4 linked regions of the Saccharomyces cerevisiae S288C genome follow. Changing the gene in region 1 together with any one later gene gives a genetic interaction. Each region holds a gene or a part of one and is shown on either strand. Other genes may lie near its edges.

Region 1 (4,074 bases):
GTTGCTGCTATTATGGCTTCTGGAAGTAGAGGTGTATGAAAAGAACTTCTGCCAGCTTCCTTTATGTTCTTCACGAATACTTTCCAGCCTACTCTGCGGGTTACCCACTATACAAATACCATAATATGTTACGCGGTCCGCTATATACGAATCTACTATGTACGTCGAACATCATTAATCAAGTTTTTGGGGTTGTCATACATGGCTAAAACGCTCAGGATATCACGTAGGTGTTTCAAACCCCTTGTTGGTGGAGACCAATCCTGGTAAGTTCGCCAAATCTCTGTTAATCTTCTCAAAGCTTCCACGGTGTCCCTCTGAAAAACAGGGCCAGAAGTACTCGTGGTACTATCCAAGAAGCAGTTTAATGAGATGGAGAGCCTCAACGCATGTGGTATCTCTCGCTGCGGTAAATTTTTCAATTGAATCAATTTGGAGAAGGAATCATGAATTTTCCATACCAAATCATATTGATTGACAGTATTCAATATGCTTGTAGGAGTGTCGAGGTCGATGTTTAAACGTAAATGCTTACGACTTAATGGGTTTTTCGTGAATATTGTATTGTACAGAAAGCATTTATAGACTTTATCGTCATCATAAATGTCTGAATATATCCTTACGAAATCCGAAGATTTTTCGTTTTGATACTGCACAAACTGCAAAAAATCCTTTACCGTAGAAATATTCTCTGGCAATAATGATTCCGATGATGAACCGAGACTTTCACCCTCCCTTTGGTCGTAATTGAGTTGATGACCATTCATTTTCCACTTACTGTCCATTTCTTGAAGCCAGATTTTGTTGCTGTTCTGGTACTGTTTCCTAATATTTGGAGGCAATGTGTAATCATTAAATGACCTTGAAATAAAAAAAGGACTTAGTAAATTAATTATGGGAATAAATTGTTTATATCCTAAATTCTCCGTTATCATCAAAATATCCCATAAGGTTATTTCGAAAAGTCTGTTGGTGGGAATCTTCAATCTCGATTCAAAATTAGGGGTCCTTACATGGACGTCATTAATGTTACTAGTTGCTTCATCATCGGTATCAAGGTTTAAATTATTAGCATTCTTTAAATCAATGCCCATGTACTTCCCATTGCACCATAAATTTCTCAAGATTTTAGGGTGATTATAATCTATAGCAAGTTTTTCTGAAATTGTCATAAAATTATCATAAAGCTTACCAAAAAATGTCAGTCGAAACGTATCCCAATTGAACAAGAGCCAATCCAATGCATCCTGAACTAGTTTAGATTCACTAGAATCTATCCGCCTATAATTTTTGATTTTAGATAATGTGTCTTGTTGCTTTTTGTCAATGCCCTGAAATAACTGTTTTTCTTTGATTTGTTGGCTCTTCGTTGTGAAATCATTATTTGAATCATGATCATTACTATCATTTTCGTTAGTACTGGAATTGGAACCCAAGTTATTATAACTATTGCTAGTAAAGTCAGTGCTGTGGTCCCAAAATCGATAGCCTTGTAAACATGACTGGAAACTCAATACACTCACTGTAGTGTTTTCATCAAACTCTAGAACTTCATTATTTTGCACGATATATTTCGCTAATAGCAAAGTTAAGGGAACGCTGTGATAAACGCCCACAAAAAAAATTGAATCTACCTCTTTGAAAAGATGAGCCCAGTGGTTCAGTAACTCTACACATTCTTTATATGTAGGTATTAAATCTTGATTATGCAGTGGGCACTGGAACGATAGGGTCAAGACTCTTTGAGGTTGTTCTTGCGCTAGATTTTGTGACAATTTTCTAGAAAGATAATAAGCCGATCTTTGTGATTCTAATGAGCGCTGCTCATACTTTTCTGGTAAATCCCCCACGACGGATATTATAATAATTCTCTTATCCTTCAGTAATGCGGTTTTTTTTTGTCTTAAATAGAGATGTTGCTCATTAGGGAAGTTATAGTAATTTTTGATAGTATTCAATACCTTAGTTCTTAGTGGTTGGACGTGCAGAAAATTCAAAGGGTTATCTGATGGTAGGATTAAAGAATCATTAATAAATACATTATACCCAGGGTTACCTCCCTCCCCAGGATATTTGTTTAATGGCAATGGGCATTTGGCTGATCCTGTACCAGAGACACTGATTATTCCTGGGGTATCTATGGAATCAATTATGTTTGATGAATTTGATATATGTGGAATTGCTTCGTACCAACACCATGATTTCGACTTTTTTGAAATTATATCCTTAGCCTCATTTTCCAAGAAGTTGATTTGTTCAGTGTTTAGTTGAGAGTAGCGGGTATTATCATCAACAACAATTGGGGCACTTCTATATCTGGATGTTGCAAAAGAAGCGATTTTAGACCATATCCCTTTATTGTCATTATTCGAGTTCACGCTATCTTGAAAATCCGTTGTCGGACTACTCCTTCCTTGTCCATTAGGATATTCTGCAATTCTTCCCGTGTTTGGCTCATCGTCGGCAGTGGAATTCCACCAGGGTTTCCATCTGTTTTGTTGTCGTGGACGTTGGGGTGGGACTTCCTGCTGGTCCTCTCGTATCTGCTGCTGCTCTTGTGTTTGATGCTGCAACTGTTTATCCTGTTTCTGCTGCACAACATCCATTATAATAGCGTTTTATATGTTGTGCTAAATTGCTACTACACTTGCTCGCTTTTACTTATTCTGTTTGTAGTTGACCTTTATTTAACGTTGATTTTTGTTATTAACCTGCGCGAATCTGTATTAAGGGCGCATATTCCATGGGCAATTTCATTATAACAGAAAGGAAGAAAGCAAAGGAGGAAAGAAGCAATCCACAAACAGATAGCATGGATGATTTGTTAATTCGTAGACTAACAGATCGAAACGACAAGGAGGCCCATTTAAATGAGTTGTTTCAAGATAATAGTGGCGCCATTGGTGGCAACATTGTCAGCCATGACGATGCTTTATTGAATACACTGGCAATTCTACAAAAAGAACTGAAAAGTAAGGAGCAAGAAATACGAAGATTGAAAGAAGTTATTGCGTTGAAAAATAAGAATACGGAAAGGTTGAATGACGAATTGATTAGTGGAACCATTGAAAATAATGTTTTACAACAAAAACTCTCGGATCTGAAAAAAGAACATTCCCAGCTAGTTGCGAGATGGCTAAAAAAGACAGAGAAAGAGACAGAAGCCATGAACAGCGAAATAGATGGAACGAAATGATGCATCAGTTGTCAAATCGTCACAAAATGCATACAAAAGAAAATAAAATCATTGTGGTGCATATACATGGACAGAATATGAAACGCCAAAGTGTTTGCAATAAAGAGGTGAAAATATGTTAAACATGCTATAGAGAGTACACCTGCAAGTTAAGAAAATGCCATTCGTGTTTTTATCTACTATAATGTAATGTGACAGCTGTTTTAAACCTTTCTTAAGGTCGTTTGTGCGAGAACAGGCTTTTTTTTTGGAGAATGTATCTTGAGAGAAACTCAATAGTAATAACTGGATGCATAAAGAAAATTTCATATGAATCACTACAAATCTTTGGCGTTAGAATTCTATTGGGTAAATTGAACTTTGTAGCTTTTTGATGGTAAACTTGGCGGTTTTGCGCGACCCATGATCCTAAGAAACCCGCAGTTTCTATTAGGATTCACGATGGTCTTTATCTCACCTTCTATTATGTGTAAGTTGAAATGCCCCTTGCTGTTCTTATAGCAGAAAGCTTTTTTTTTCATTTATAGGACTAGCATTTTGGCATTGGAAGGGAAAAAATCATGCTTTCATTGAAAAATGAAAAGAAACATATCGTTATTTTGTGGGAACACTGAAGTATAATTTTTTGTTTCGGAAATTTACCATTGCATAGTGGGTATTTTCATCGAAAGTTGGCTAAAGAATGCATGCGGCCTGTTCATTCTGGTTATGAGCATTTCAATTGGTTAGTATATTGGCGTGAGTGGAAAGAATAGTGGATAAAAACTAAGAGACCCGTTCATTCTCCTGATACGATCTTGCGGTAAACCTTATATTTTTGGGGAGGGTACTGTAATATCTCATAACTCCGCGTATTATTGTGGATGTAACTTGTTGCT
Region 2 (4,964 bases), on another chromosome or scaffold:
CATTAATAGTGAAATAAGAAGAAGATCCTTGGTCTATGGTAGTGTTTTCCTTGAATTTCGACTTATATATATCATGAGCATGTTTGTAAATAAAGCCGTGCACATTATGTTTGTAGCCTAGTTGAATAGCGCCAGCCAAAACCACTAACAAAACAAAATTCAAGAAAAATTTCCAAATATTTCGTAAAATTGATGACGATGTACCGGAAAGCTTCAGAACGTTGATCGTGTTCCCCATAGAAGTGCTTGCCAAATATCTAGAATCTGGAGAAAAAGTAACTTTTGTTATAGTAGATTCATGTACTCTTGGAACCAACTGAACAAGCTTTAGCTTTTCAACGCTGACGATGGCAACCAAGTTATCGTTAGATGATAATGCAACGAACTTCTTATTTGGGGAGACATCCATCGATGTTATTCCATTCAAATCGAACATGAAGGATGCTGTTTTTAAAATTTTAACACCTTTGGAACTCACACCTAGTTTTAACAAGGAAACTCCATCAGAGTTCGATAATGATGCTGCCACTAATAGCGTATTGTCATTGAGAAACCTGATATTAGAAAGAACAAGATTTTTATCAAAATCCGTTTTCCTTGCTACAAAATTTCCGTCCCTAACAGACGCTACTTCCAAAGAATTAGAAGTGATATATGACAAAAGAATACCGTTAGGGGCGAAGTGCAAATCATTAACTTCCCTACCCGTTTCAATTTCGTAATTTTCCGTCAAATTACGCGGGTCAATGATTCTTATCACAGTGGGCACTTCAGAGGACGCAATTGCAGCTACTGTGGCCCTTTGATTAATGTAAACAAACTTAGTGAAAACGGATGGGTCTGTAGTTCTGTTGAAATCAATACTGGCCACGAATTTTAGATGTTCTTGTTCAAACACAAACTTCCTCAAGTGGTGGTTAACGTTCTCCATGGAGGAATCATTAAACAGTTCATTGCAACCAACTAGAATCAGGTTATTATTACAATCCAATGAAGTGGGCGCATCGTCAATCGAATCTAATGTGATCTCACGAAACCTTCTAATGTGTTTCTTTTTCTGGAAGTTCACCTTTAAAGCTGTAATTTTGTTTGGAAACGAGGAATTGAACTGGCCTCCACCACCAGCCACCAGTAGAGTGCCTTCATTTATAAATTTAGCACCATATATCGGATATCCGACGTCATAGTTTGCAGAGTTGCCACTCATTATTATGCTAGTTTTTCTAAGTTTAAAAGGAGAGAAAAAAAAGGAAGAGAGGACGTATCGTAGGGAATTGTGATGCTTGTTGACAAACAGCCTCCGTCGATCGAAGCAGCTATAAGCGTAGGTTACTTGAAGCGTTCACAGTTCTCATTTACACTGTACAATTCTCGAGATATAAATGAAAATTACTACAACCAAGAAAAAAGGACAGGAGGGCTAAAAGGATAATAAAATAGGGCAGTTACAAATGTGGTCAAAAATACTAGGGCTCAAAATTGCTAAGTAAGGGCTTGACAGATGTAACATAATACGAAATAAACTGGATATCGTTTAATAATTATCAAGGTGATTTAAATCGTAAATACATAGGCTGGGCCATATACACTAACATGTGTCGTGACCAATGTGCAGCAGATAGACTTGCTCATTAAATATATTCCAGGTAGGATTCTCTAAGGGTTTTTTTTTTTCTCTATAGCTGTCACTTTTTTTTTTTTCTCTTATCAATCACAGATATAATAAGCATAACATCGGAAAGAAAATAATGATAGGGCAAAAGGGAAAGCATTTCCAGTTGAATACAGTATCTCTACTATATTGTTGTTCGCTGAAGACAGCCGTTTCCGGAAAAAAGTGATTGTGTGATCGCAGTTACCCGCACCTTTGTTCAACAGTACATAATAAGAATCTGTAGATATAGATGAACTTTCTCTATTACATAAGACTAGCCTAAAAGCCTTGTTTCTATCATTTAAAGGCTTTTGAGACACTCAAATCAGTGTCAACCTTTTGGATAAGTCAAAGAAAGTACGCCGCTGCTCAGAAAATTGTTATCGTGATTGAGAACTGATCTAGGCATTACAATTAAAGGAAACAAGGGAAATATTCTATTGAATGTTGCATAAAAGCCCTTCAAGAAAGAGATTTGCTTCTCCTTTGCATCTAGGATGCATTCTAACGCTTACAGTGCTCTGCCTTATTGCTTACTACTTTGCTTTACCGGATTATTTATCGGTAGGGAAGAGCTCATCCAGGGGTGCCATGGATCAAAAATCTGATGGAACCTTTAGACTTAAGTCTATCTACAGGCATGGCGTCGGAGCAAACCATCGGCTACACCAGAGGCTGGAGGTCACTCCAGAAGTTATTTCTGCCGCTGGAATGCTGTATCAAGAAACCACAACTCAAGGACAGGATTTCGAAGACCAAGAACCCCTATGGACTACTAATGCCGAATATGCCACCACTAACCCATTCGATTTTGAGTTTGAGCTACGAAGGATGCCGCTATTGATGAAGCGGATGAAGGAAAGAGATCCTGAATTCATAGAGTCGTACATTTACGGAGAAACATACATGACGGAGGAGGAAGAACACGCCATGTGGATAGATGATGACATTGTGGCACCCAATATCACAGATAGAGGTACAGTAGTGTCGTTAGCATTAATGTCGTCTAATGCTTACGTGAGAATACCGCAAACGGGAGACTGGCGTAACGTCACGGAGCCGTGGAATGAAACAGAGCCGGAAGATTTTGGTTGGGATGGTGATGGTATACGTGGTCACGTCTTTTACAATGAAGTGGAGAATATCGTGGTACTCTCGATAAAGGGAACCAGCGCTCAGGGTTTGCCAGGGTCTGGCGAAGATGAGACAACTGGAAACGACAAGATCAACGATAATTTGTTATTTTCGTGTTGTTGTGCAAGAGTGAGCTACCTGTGGACTACCGTGTGCGATTGCTATGTGAAGTCGTATATATGCGATGAGTCTTGCCTGGAAAAGGAACTGAGACGTAAGGATAGATTTTACTCTGCAGTCGTTGACATATACAAAGGCGTCCTCAAAGAATACCCCGATGCGGCCATATGGGTCACAGGCCACTCACTGGGAGGCGCATTGGCCAGTTTACTGGGCCGCACTTTTGGATTGCCTGCGGTCGCATTCGAGTCCCCTGGAGAGCTACTACCTTCAAAAAGACTTCACTTACCATTCCCACCGGGACTTCCCTCATACATGGAGGGTATCTGGCACTTCGGTCACAACGCAGACCCAATCTTCATGGGTACATGCAACGGAGCTAGTTCAAGTTGCTCACTGGTGGGCTACGCTATGGAAACCGCGTGCCACACTGGTAGAGTCTGTGTCTACGATGTGGTCAACGACAAGGGCTGGAGTGTAAACATGTTCAACCACAGAATCCACAAAGTCATTGACGAAGTTCTCCTTGGATACGAGCAGGCTGCCAAGTGCGTTGAACCAGAGCCCTGCGTAGATTGCTACAACTGGAAGTTTATTCCAAGCAGAGACTGGGAATCCTCATCGAGGCTCATTACCAAGACTAAAAGCCACGCTGCACCAACCACGACGACTCGCACCACTGCTACTACTACCTCTTCATCTACCTGTGTAGGCCGCAATTGGCTTGGCTTCTGCACCAAATACGAGTTGTAAGACCCATACATCTATTATGACCCTAGTGTTGTTTTAGGGCCTATGCGCCCTTTTTTTCTTCCATTGTCTGATAAATAATGTATCATTTTGACAACTTAAAGGTTCAGCTAAACGACACGAGAAGATATATTAATACTGCTTTAAAGTGAAAGGCGTCAGTCAGGTGCAATTAATAGGTCACATATTCTTTGCTTCAATTGCTCTCTAGCAAACTCACACACTCGTAGATTGGAAGACCGAAGAAAATAGATAGACTTTCGAATAAGTTCAGCAACAACATGTGGTTGAAATCCTTGCTGCTCTGCCTGTACTCCTTAGTACTCTGCCAAGTCCACGCTGCACCTTCATCAGGGAAGCAGATTACCTCCAAGGATGTTGATCTTCAGAAAAAATATGAGCCCAGTCCCCCCGCCACACATCGTGGAATAATCACTATCGAATACTTTGATCCCGTTTCGAAGTCGATGAAAGAGGCGGATCTGACTTTTGAGTTGTACGGTACTGTCGTGCCCAAAACTGTGAACAACTTTGCTATGCTGGCCCATGGTGTTAAGGCAGTTATCGAAGGGAAAGATCCCAATGATATACATACTTACTCGTACCGTAAGACCAAAATCAACAAGGTTTACCCTAACAAGTATATCCAGGGTGGTGTGGTTGCCCCAGATGTGGGTCCTTTCACCGTCTATGGGCCCAAATTTGATGACGAAAACTTTTACTTAAAACATGACAGGCCTGAAAGACTCGCAATGGCCTATTTTGGACCTGATTCTAACACCTCGGAATTCATCATCACCACTAAAGCCGATGGAAATGAGGAATTGGATGGCAAAAGTGTCGTGTTTGGTCAAATAACTTCTGGTCTAGATCAACTAATGGATGCTATTCAATACACAGAAACAGACGAATATGGAAAGCCTCAGCATGAATTACGGTTCCTGTATTTCGTTCTAGAAATCTTAAAAATTAGTAACATCTTAGATTTGCACGCTGCGTACACAGAAAAAGTCGAGAAGTTTAGAAATGGCGATGTGTCTGTTGGCTCCACTTTGGAAAACATCTTCCGTAACGATAAAGCCTACACACCTTTAACCACCTCCACTGGAACCACCGCCTATGATTTAAACCACCCAATTTCCAGAGCCTTGATGTGTTTAACTGTTCTTGGCCTTTGTTTCATTGCCTACAAGGGCATGCACGAAAAGCCTCATACGGTTTCATTAAGACACAAGTAAGCAACTTCTTTTCGATGGCTTGATGACCACATGGCTATGATTTTAATTAATATATATACATGACAATT
Region 3 (5,319 bases), on another chromosome or scaffold:
CTGGTGAGTTTTTTTGTTGCATCCTGTAATCTTGGTTGGTTGGTTTCCTTTCAGTGATCGAACTATCTAGTTTTGCGAAAGCCATTTTCATCTCTGGATTTAAGCCAGCCTTTTCATCATTTTCCTGTGTATTAATGGGGTTCGAGGATAAATCGGAGGGTTGCATACTCTCTGCGAATATTTCCGGAATTCGACCTAGAGATGGATATGTCACCTCGGGATAATGTTTTCTTATATTGTGCACGATCTTTCCTTTAATAAAAGACTCAAGAAGAATGGCATATTTGTAAATTACTGAATCTTTTGCATTGTATGTCATTGCATTCCAAGGAATTTGCGCAAAATCGTTAACAAAATCTTGTGGCGATGTATAATGGGGCAATCGTTTCTTTAAAGTGTTTAAAGATATCGGATTCCTTATTATAATGTAATAGTCTGGATATTCTTTTTTAGGTGGCAGTACATTGAATATTGGATATATTTCTATACCATTTTCATCCTTTAAATGGAAGACAGCATCGTATTGTGTTTTGAGTAGCTTCTGTAAAAACCCATTATCTTGCTCCACCATGCTTGAAATATAATTTTTTTTATCTCTGTTTTGTAGCTAGGGCACTTCACAGATTTTCCCTTCGCTAATACCACACTGTTCCGCCAACTCAGCTTAATTTCAGTTGTAACTCAATTGGGCCTTTGATTAATAAAAAAAAAAGCTTTCCCGAGACAACAATCACTATTGACGGAAAGAGGGTAAGGGAGCAATAAAGAACTATATAAAACGTTAGACAAACGATTTTATAGAGCGCTTATCTGTGTTTATAGCGTTGCTGATAGATTTAGTTAATTCCAATTTGAATCTATCTCATCAGCAATTCATGATATTGCTTTTTCTTAGTATGCTATTTTGATTTCGCGCAATAGTAGGTATAAAAATTGAAAAAATACGAAACGGAATAGCATCTTAAACTATTAAATGGCAGAAATTATAATGAGGTTTGGTACCTATATATTTTGTATAAAGAAAATGCAATTATAAGAATGTTCATACGTGATTATAAGAATCGAGATGAGATGGTAAGTACCTTTTTGGTTACAGCGATTTTTCTTGTTCACTTTTGTAATGTTCGATTATATTCGTTTCAATAACGCCGTCTTCTTGTGTATCGACATCGCCAATAGTGTCATCATAAACTTTGGCAATTTTGACTCTCCAGAACCCATCTTCACCAAGCACATCCTTGGAAACCAATTTGTAGTGGCCCCATCTTGGCAATAATTGGGCCCAAACAACGTAGTAAACACCACCAAAGAAGAAAATACCCCAAGCAATTACACAGTGGATCCAGTATGGCATGCTTGAATACACCGACTCGCCATTTGAAGGTGGAACGTAAGGAGCAATAATCAGGTATAAATTGGATAATGTGAAAAATCCCGTAACAAAAACACCGGCCTTAATTGGTGGGTTCCATTCAATTTTACCTTGTCTACGTTGCCAGTATATCCAAAGCAAACCCGCGCTAATGGCAAAATTAATAATATTCATTGGGTAGGAAATTAAATTTTGGACTAGCAAATATGCATCACCTGGAGGTGGGGCTAAAATGGTTACTGTACAAACAATAAAATGTTGAAACAAACCAACCATTGGGGAGTTGAATGGCTTAGAAGAGGCAAAGAAATTAGAAAAGGGCAACACACCTTCACGTCCTAGTTGTTGAATAATTCTACCCTGAGAAAAAATGACAGAAAGAACATTTCCTAAGGCACTCAACCCGACCAGTGCGGCTGCTGCTCTCTTGGCTTGGCCGCCAAACACAATATCGAAGAAGTCAGCAGCTAAAATCAATTTTGAAGAAATTAACTTATCTTTTGGAACCACAGCGAAGTAAGCAATGTTCACAAAAATGTAGATTATAGCCAAGAAGACCATCGATGTAGGACCAGCAATCTTCAAAGTTCTCACAGGGTTCTTAACTTCACCAAGTGCATAGTTAACATTGGAGTAACCGACAAACGACCAAATAACACTATATAAGGCGTTAACAATACCATAAGCAGTGGCGGTTTCAGTACCTTCAAAAGCATTACGAAAGTTGTGAGATTGATAACCATCTTTGAGACCACCGCCAAGGGCAACCCAACCGGTAATAGAAATGAAGAGGACAATACCAATCTTGAAAATACCTAAAATGTTTTGCAAATATAGACCAATCTTGACATTCAGAGAATTAATTAGGAATGCAAAAAAAACGACGGCCACACCAATACCTCTTTGATTCCATTTGGTCACTTCAGTATCAGCAGCAGTTAAAAACATAATAGCTGTATTGATGGAATTACCAGCAGCCCAACCTAGGAAGAAAATATACGCAGCATACATACAGGTAATGAAGAATTTTGGTTTCCTGAAAATAGCCTCCAGGTAGTTTTTTTCACCACCATTTTTCGGTATAGCCGTACCGAATTCCATGTATACATATAACCCAGAAATGGCAATAATGGCGCCAACTGCCCACATAATTAATGCAAGCCCCACAGACCCACATAGTGTGTAAATGGTCGAGGAAACGGCGAAAACACCGGTACCAAGCATTCTATTACAGATAAGCCCAATACACGACAAAATACCTAACTGCTTTTCACCTTGGTCCAATTCTGTAGCAAATTGCTGGCCTGCCTCAAAATCGGAGGCACCGTTGTCAGCATCCACTGTCGAGTTACTTACTTCCTTTTTTGTAGTAGAAGAAGAAAATTGATAGTTCTCCTTGTTGAAGACATTCAACTGTGACAGAAACGTTCTTCCTTCCGACATTGCTCCGCCTTTGTTTTCTCTTCTCTTGTCTTTAAAGATTTCTACAGAATGTGAAACTAATCCAAAAACAAAATATGATGAACAGCGGAAAAGTTTGTGTGAGAATCATCCTTATATATATATACTGTATGTAATCTTACATCACCATATGAAAATAACGGGCTGACTCAAGAAATTCACCGCCAAGTAGGAGGAACCACATTTGTAATGCAAGACTGTGTTATGTGTTACCATGGTGTGCAATAACTGCGAAGGTAGCACCGCTTGAGTCAACTGTGGCAGTTTATTAGATGCCACTCGAGTGTGGTGAACGGCAATTCCACAGTCTAACTTTTCAGTTGGCGCCGTGCCATCTCCTGGCTGCTAGGCCGATCTGTTATACAAAACCCTACACGGCGCCGTTTCTTTTTTTTTTTTCTTTTTCTGTGGCAAAGCGGCGACAGCGACGCTAAAAAAAACTGTGGTGGCGGATGCAGCGCCGGCTTACGGAGCCGAAGTGACACTCCATATTCATTTATTGCCTGGCGGTATCGTGGCATACATTGTAAGATGCGGCTGGTGGCAATCCGCCAAGAAGAGACGTAAAAATAAGGAAAATGCTCACTAATTATGTATGTATCAATTACTATTTGATGTTAAAAAAATATGTGGAAAAGTACAATAAAACAAGGGAAAAAAAGAAAGGGGGGAGGTTGGCGTAATTCTCCTGGGAAACAGTAAAAAACAATTCAAAGTAGTATTATTTGACGTTGTTAATATTTACACAGTTGTATGGATACATCAGTTTCTTCTAGTTTATTCATCCTTCCAACCCAACTTTTCCAAATCTTTCAACACTTTTTCTTCAGTTTGAATTTTTAGAACTTGCGTATCTTCTAGTTTGTCACCGACGGCCTGTCTTTCCTTCAAGGTTTCAATAGCCCTTAATTTCTTTAGTAAAGATCTTATTTTCTTCTCCTCTGGAGAAGTTTCTTTATTGTTTGTGGGGGCATTTGTGGAGGCAGGAGCAGATGGGGCCGGAGTAGAATCAGGTGACGTTTCACTTGACTTTTTATTGGCTCTTCTTCTCCTGTTCTTGGTGTTGGCGTCCTTGTTGGCACTCATGCCCGGAACTAGCCCTGGGATGGTCTTCTTTGCTGCACCAGGAGGAACTCCGGGGACAATACGTCCACCGCCTGTTCTTCTTGCGTGAGGTGGTTTATAAGCGCCTCCAGCTTTGGCCTTAGATCCGTTTCCATTGGAGCTTGCTTCTCTGCTTGGGTGTTGACTTATGTACTCTTGAACGCTAGAATGTATTTGCAATTCTGATTTATTGGATATTTTAGGATCAAGTGAAGATGTGGTCGAATCAGGTAGCGGTTCCCAGTTATTAATGATATGGTTCTCGAAAAATGCTTCGTCTTTGTTTTCCAAAGTTTTGTAATTACATGGTGACCTCCAGTCTACCTTCAAAAGCTCCTTGAACTCTTTAACAAATACTAAAGAGCCTGATACATGCCATATTTTAACGCCGTTATCCACTCTCAATCTTGGTGAAGTGGTAGCTGTCATGATAAATTCTCCACCCGGTGACCATTTGCAGACAGAAGTGTTGGTAGCGTCAAATTTACTCACACACTTGAATTTGTCGAGACGATCTAGGATTTCCACGGAGCCCTGTAAATTACCAAACCCGGCGATAAGAATGTAATGACCAGAGGGAGAGAAAAGCATGGTATTTTTGGCTTGTTGAGGTAATGAATGGACAACATTACCTCTTAAGTCAAAAAAGGAAATGGTTGCTGGCATGTAACCAGCGATGACACCGAATTGCCTTGAAGTTGGCGACCAAGTGAAATCGTGGACAGGTCCAGTGGTTAAAGAAACACGTACAGAGTTACCACCCAAAGTCCCGTTGACACCTTGGAAAGACAGTAAGTATAGTGTGTTTTCACCATAATATGATTTGTTTGAGGAATCAAAATCAGTAATAGCTAAACATAAAATAGCATTACCTAATGGATTCCATTTCAATTGGCAGGAATCAGCTTTAAAGAAAGTTTTGGAGGCAATTTTCTTGGTGATTTTACCTTCAGAGAGGGCCCATATGATTAATTGAGCCGGTTTACCACCCTTTTCTGGTGTGAAAGTACAAATTGTTGGATGTTCAGCTGGAGAGATTAGGTAGGTGGTGAAATGTTGGGACGTTTCATCATCAGACAAGACAGCAAACGGAGATTGGAAGTCGAAATTGTCGGCATTAGCGGAGCTTAATTTAACAATCTTCAAGTCGTGTTTAAAAAGTCTTAGCCCATAATTGTCTAATTTGGAGAATTGTAAAAACCAACCGCTTTGGGATTTGGCTTGATATTCGTAAGCAGGGACTATATCCTCCGAAACGCAATCTTTCTTAAATGGTTTATTCAAATACCAAACTTTAACGTTCTTGTGATTTGGGTCTTGTATAGACGCTCTCTCCCAAGTGCTTAAGTAGTTACCTGCTGGAGAGAAGTGTAGGTCATAGA
Region 4 (5,213 bases), on another chromosome or scaffold:
GGCGCTAATTTTTTATTTTTAAAAACTATTCATGGATTCTTTTCGAAACCCTCATCACGAACCATTTGAGCATTAACTTTAGCTGATTCTGGATCCAAGTAAAATTTCCTCACAAAAGAGTAATTGTCTCTATCCAACTCTATAACTAGCGGAATGCCGTTGGGAATATCGACATCTTTGATGTCTTCATCTGAGATACCTTCCAATACTTTCAGCAGAGATCTTACAGAGCTGCCATGCCCAACTATAACACACGATTCTTGACTGATTTTGTTGGCGGTAGACAGAACAACATTATTTAAAAATGGTTTCAATCTGACGACCACTTCACAAAGAGACTCACTTTCTGGCAGACGCTCATTAGCCTTCTCTTCGGGGCCGTATTTTAAGTGTCTATTGGGCTCCTTAAAATCATAGCCTGTGGAGGACCCCTGATCATTTTCCTCTTGGACCATTTCCAGGTTTAGGTTGACTTTAGGGGGTTTTCCGTTGTAATCTCTTCTGATATACATGTATTTTTCCTTACCGTATTCTTTCAAGATATCTGGCTTTCTTTGTCCTTGCCATGCGCCGTAATGACGCTCATTTAACCTCCAGGTTTGCAACACAGGCATACTTCCTTCAAATCTTGTGTCCTGCAGCTCCTCCTTAATGTTTGTATTCGTAGTAATTACATAATTGGTGTGTTTTAGTCCCAACTCTTCGAGAATAACGTCCATGGTCTGCTGAGTTCGAATCAACCTTGAAGTATAGCCAATCTGAGGCAAAGAGATATTGTTAGAATCGCAAAACTGCTTGATCAATTTTGCAGAGTGGCGGGCCTGAGACTTCCCTTTTTCCGTTAATTGAGCATCAATCCATCCGCAGAATATGTTTTCTGAGTTTAATTCACTTTGACCATGCCTTAAAATAAACAGTTTAAAAGTGTCAGTAACAGTCATAACTATTCGTTATTAGTAGATCTTTTTGCACTATTTCTCAATCCTCTCAAAGAGACTTTTATTGTAAATCCTCGATTGCAGGTTGTTTTATCACATATGTATAAAATGGAAGCTTCTATTGTTTTATCGAACTTGTCAATGAAATCTCGCATTGTTATCATCTCATAATACAAATCTGAAAAAAAAAGTTAAAAAACAAAGGAAAGTCACACAAAACTAGCAAAAGTAACAAATCAAAATTCGCTGACAGTTAGTGCTGTCGTATCCTGTCACACTTACATAATATATATCTGTTTACATAATCTAATAGCTTGAACAAAAGCAACAGCAAAGGTTGCTAATTAAAACGTGTGCTCTTAAGGACATCATAATTCTCTATCAAGGAAAGATTGGAGCATACCCTGTGGGGTTTCATCATATTCTTTCAGGGTTACCTTGTTATTGTCGTCAATATAAGAATTCGATTGTATGAATTGTCTCCTTGGCAATCTCTTAGATAAGACGATGTCTCTTAAAGACGCCAAATCCGGTGTCACCGTTGATCTATCAATAAAGTACTTACTTCCCTGTTCCACATCGCCTGAACATTTGTAAACATGCAAATGCTTTAAATAGTCTTTCACACATTCATGTCCCGCTGTTTTAATGAGAGATTTATCCAACTTGATGGCAAAATCATCATTCGTGCTGTTCATCTCCAACTTTAAGAAATTCTTATCTGTAGAGTGCTTCATAAATGTTTTCATGATAGAAAATCTTGCTTGCATGTGTGGTTGTCCCCACTTACCAGTTTTTGGATTCCAGTATTCTAAAGCTAGGAGACCCGCACGGGCCATTTGTAGATATCCAGCGTAGATCACTTTATCTTGAGATTCGACATCATGGAAACCAAAAATATCAAGAATCTTCTTATTAGTAAGCAAAAACATGGCAATTACTTCCGCACGACATTCTTCAAATGGGCCAGCTAACTGTCCAAATTTGGAACCCCAAGTTTCACCAACTTTGTAGTATGTGCTCACCGGTTTCCCATCCAAACCTAAAGGAGGGTTTTCCTTATCAAAATTAAAGCCGTCTGTAAATTCTGTCAACAACTTTCCTGAACCATGTCCTAATAATTCATGGATGCCTACTTGGACTTCAAAAGAATCACTTTGATATTTTTCAAAAATTGGGCGATCTTCTTGCGATATAAAACTTGGCGGATGCTTGGATGAGCTTTTGGCAGCCGCGCTTAAGATATTCCCCAAAGAAACATTCTTGAACCCAATTTTAAGCCGAACATCATCATAGTTTGGAATATTGATGCCCGCTGGTATACCCGATCCAGTAAACGTTAATACTTCTAGAGAGGTGAAATCTGGTGGATTGAAAATCGGTTTTTCGTAATCTTTAGACCATGGTAGTAAGGAAATGAATTCTTCTGCGTTGTTAACCAAGCTGGAAAATTTAGCAGTACGTTCTTTGTTTTGAATTGCAACCAACGATTCAAATTCTCCAATTATGCCCGAGGGTTCTCTATATGTTTCGATAAAACCGATATTTGTTTCAATGACGGGAGATATATCTTTGACCCAAAGTTTTTGTGCTTCTTTATGTGCTTGAGAAGAGCCAGTGACAAAGTGGTTGATGTATTCCTGAAGCATTGCTTTTTGAGTATCATTAGCCGCGAATTTTTGAGCTTCCTTTAAATACGATGCTACTAAACGCATTTCACGTGAATGATCACCAAAAATGAATTCTACTTTGGTTACAGCATTGGATAATGTGATCTGTCCACTGGGGTAGGTTTCTGTTATCTGGTTTTTCACATTCTCAGAGGCAACCCAGATTTGGAAACTGTTTTCACCAACTTTGTTGATTCTTGTGTTTTCAGGCAAGATGGCAAGTTCAGCAAACAACTGCTCTTTCAAAAGAGCCATATCTTCAGGTGTCACAGGTAAACCCAGATAATAGGCTGAAGTATAACCTTGAGAGGGAAACCCTAAGAGAGCCGCCTTCTCTTCCACATGGTAAATACCAATATCAATTAGCTCATTGATGGTGGAAAAAAGATGATGAGATGTGAATTCATGGTTAACGTCAACAGGAGATAAAGTGAGCGGAGAAGAACACGGATTAATCTTGGCCAGCTCCAAAAGCTGTTTGAAGAATTTTACCTCACAACGAGGAATAAACTTAGTGTCACCAAACGATTTGAAATTACCCAAATTAGATAAGAATTGAGAAACGTATTCCAAATACAAACCCGTTTGCTGCTTCTGCGTAATATCGTCCTCTGGGTACTTGCCGTTTAGCTTTGAATGAATGGCAAGGATTAGGTCAAAAATTGGCTCACTCTCATGAGAAACTTGTCTCATTACAACCCTTGAACCCGCATGGGAGGCCTTTGACATGAAATGCGCATATTTTTGTTCCTTATCAGTCAATTGAGGAAAGTATTCTGTTTTAACAGAAAGCATGCTCAGAGGAGCATCATGATCGGCGAAAAAGTGGCTCATCTTTGAGGACTTAATGGTGCAGTGCTCAGTTTTTTTTTTCTTCTTTTCAATGTTCTGTTCTCATGAAGGTATTTTTCCTTTACGATATTGGGATTTTTCGCTACGTCAACTTATTCCGAGCGGCTATGCTCTTAGCTATTTTTTCTTCTATTCAAAATTGGTATGATGCTTTCTTAAACTATTTATACAAAAGCTTACATATGTCTACATATGTATTTACATCACAAGAGTGTGCAGAAATAGGAGGTGGAGGAAGAGATCGTTATCTATCTTGAGGCGATGAACTAGCGGACTTACAAAGTCAACTCTTCACCTTTGGTTTTTTTGGATTCACCGTATTTTTTAATTCTAATGGCCTGGATGGCAATGAAACCGGTGGTATCGGTAGGTAAGAAACCGGTCAACTCATCCATAGAGGATTCTGTCGGATCGTACAACTTTTCAGTCTTTGTAGATCTGCCCAGAATGATGACGTTACCCTTATACAGTCTAACCCTGACAGTACCGTTAACGCTATTTTGGGATGGTTGGATCATAGATCTGATGTACTCACACTCTGGGGTGAAGTAGGAACCGTTATATATCAATCTGGAGTAGTTTGGTGTGACGAATGAGTCTCTCAATTGACGGACTTCTTTGTCTAAAGTCAAACCTTCCAAATCAACATGAGCTTTTCTCAAAACAGTCAATGGAGCCTGTTCGTAACAACCTCTGGATTTCAAGTTAATGTAACGATCTTCTACAATATCGATTCTACCAACACCGTTGGCCCTTGCTAAGTTGGATGCGGCCAAGAAAACATCCAAAGGCTTGGTAACGGAAACTTCCTTGGAAGTCTTGTTGTCGGTGTAGGTCAACTTGACTGGAAGACCACGTTCAAAGTCAATGGTCAAATCTTGTGGTTGGTCCGGAGCATCCATTGGATCGACGATCAATTTCCACATGTCCTTTGGTGGGGTGGTATCTGGGTCTTCCAAGATACCTGCCTCGTAAGAAATGTGGGCTTGGTTTTCGTCAGTAGACCATGGCTTGGCCTTGGTTTGGGCGACGGGAATACCCTTTTGTGCAGCATAGTCTAACAAATCCTTTCTGCCAGCAAATCTTTCGAAAAATTCAGGCATTCTCCATGGTGTAATACACTTAACGTCTGGCTTCAGAGCGTAAAATGACAATTCGAATCTGATTTGATCATTACCTTTACCGGTACAACCATGAGAGACCGCGAAACAGCCCTCCTGTTTAGCGACGTCAATTTGGGCTTTGGCAATAACAGGTCTTGCCAAAGAGGTACCCAACAGATAAACGTCTTCGTACACAGCGTTGACCTGTACAGCTGGGAATAGAATATCCTTGACAAAATCTTCACGACAATCCACACAAACGAACTTGCAGGCACCGATCTTCAAGGCCTTTTCCTTGGCGGCATCGAAATCTTCTTCTTGCCCTACATTAGCCATGAAAGCTACAACTTCGTAGCCTTGGTCTAGTAGCCAAGCCAAAATGACGGAGGTATCTAAACCACCAGAATAAGCCAAACAAACTTTTCCCTTAGACATTATTTTATGCAATTATGTGTATTTCTTTTGTATCCGTGTATATTAGAACAATGTTCCTTATCGCTGCACAATGGGGAGACAAGATACAAGAAGTAAAGAGAGAGAGAACTGTGGGCAAGAACAAGGGAGTACGAATGTATGCCCATTAATATACTATTGAGACAGTGCCAGTCTGGGTCTCGCAACTGCTCAGATTACACTATCTGCCGCTACGC

Evidence for each region.
Region 2: of ATG16 (region 1) and ATG15, changing one suppresses a phenotype caused by changing the other (phenotypic suppression), as found in Saccharomyces cerevisiae (one study listed by BioGRID).
Region 3: mutations in ATG16 (region 1) and MUP1 together harm fitness more than expected from each alone (negative genetic interaction), as found in Saccharomyces cerevisiae (2 studies listed by BioGRID).
Region 4: mutations in ATG16 (region 1) and YOL057W together harm fitness more than expected from each alone (negative genetic interaction), as found in Saccharomyces cerevisiae (2 studies listed by BioGRID).

The regions. Positions count from the first base shown.
Region 1 is NC_001145.3:573,598-577,671, reverse strand, and holds ATG16 (Atg16p), read left to right. Parts: upstream 1-2,743; coding exon 2,744-3,196; downstream 3,197-4,074. Other genes in the region: CVM1 (Cvm1p), read right to left, coding at 156-2,606. UniProt on the Saccharomyces cerevisiae protein: Stabilizes the ATG5-ATG12 conjugate and mediates the formation of the 350 kDa complex, which is necessary for autophagy.
Region 2 is NC_001135.5:235,116-240,079, forward strand, and holds ATG15 (triglyceride lipase ATG15), read left to right. Parts: upstream 1-2,098; coding exon 2,099-3,661; downstream 3,662-4,964. Other genes in the region: GTPase-activating protein SED4, read right to left, coding at 1-1,207; peptidylprolyl isomerase family protein CPR4, read left to right, coding at 3,940-4,896. UniProt on the Saccharomyces cerevisiae protein: Lipase which is essential for lysis of subvacuolar cytoplasm to vacuole targeted bodies and intravacuolar autophagic bodies. Involved in the lysis of intravacuolar multivesicular body (MVB) vesicles.
Region 3 is NC_001139.9:596,913-602,231, reverse strand, and holds MUP1 (Mup1p), read right to left. Parts: upstream 2,816-5,319; coding exon 1,091-2,815; downstream 1-1,090. Other genes in the region: RSC subunit protein RSC1, read right to left, coding at 1-571; YGR054W (translation initiation factor 2A), read right to left, coding at 3,611-5,319. UniProt on the Saccharomyces cerevisiae protein: High affinity permease for methionine.
Region 4 is NC_001147.6:218,996-224,208, reverse strand, and holds YOL057W (dipeptidyl-peptidase III), read right to left. Parts: upstream 3,443-5,213; coding exon 1,307-3,442; downstream 1-1,306. Other genes in the region: phosphoglycerate mutase family protein GPM3, read right to left, coding at 30-941; ARG1 (argininosuccinate synthase), read right to left, coding at 3,736-4,998.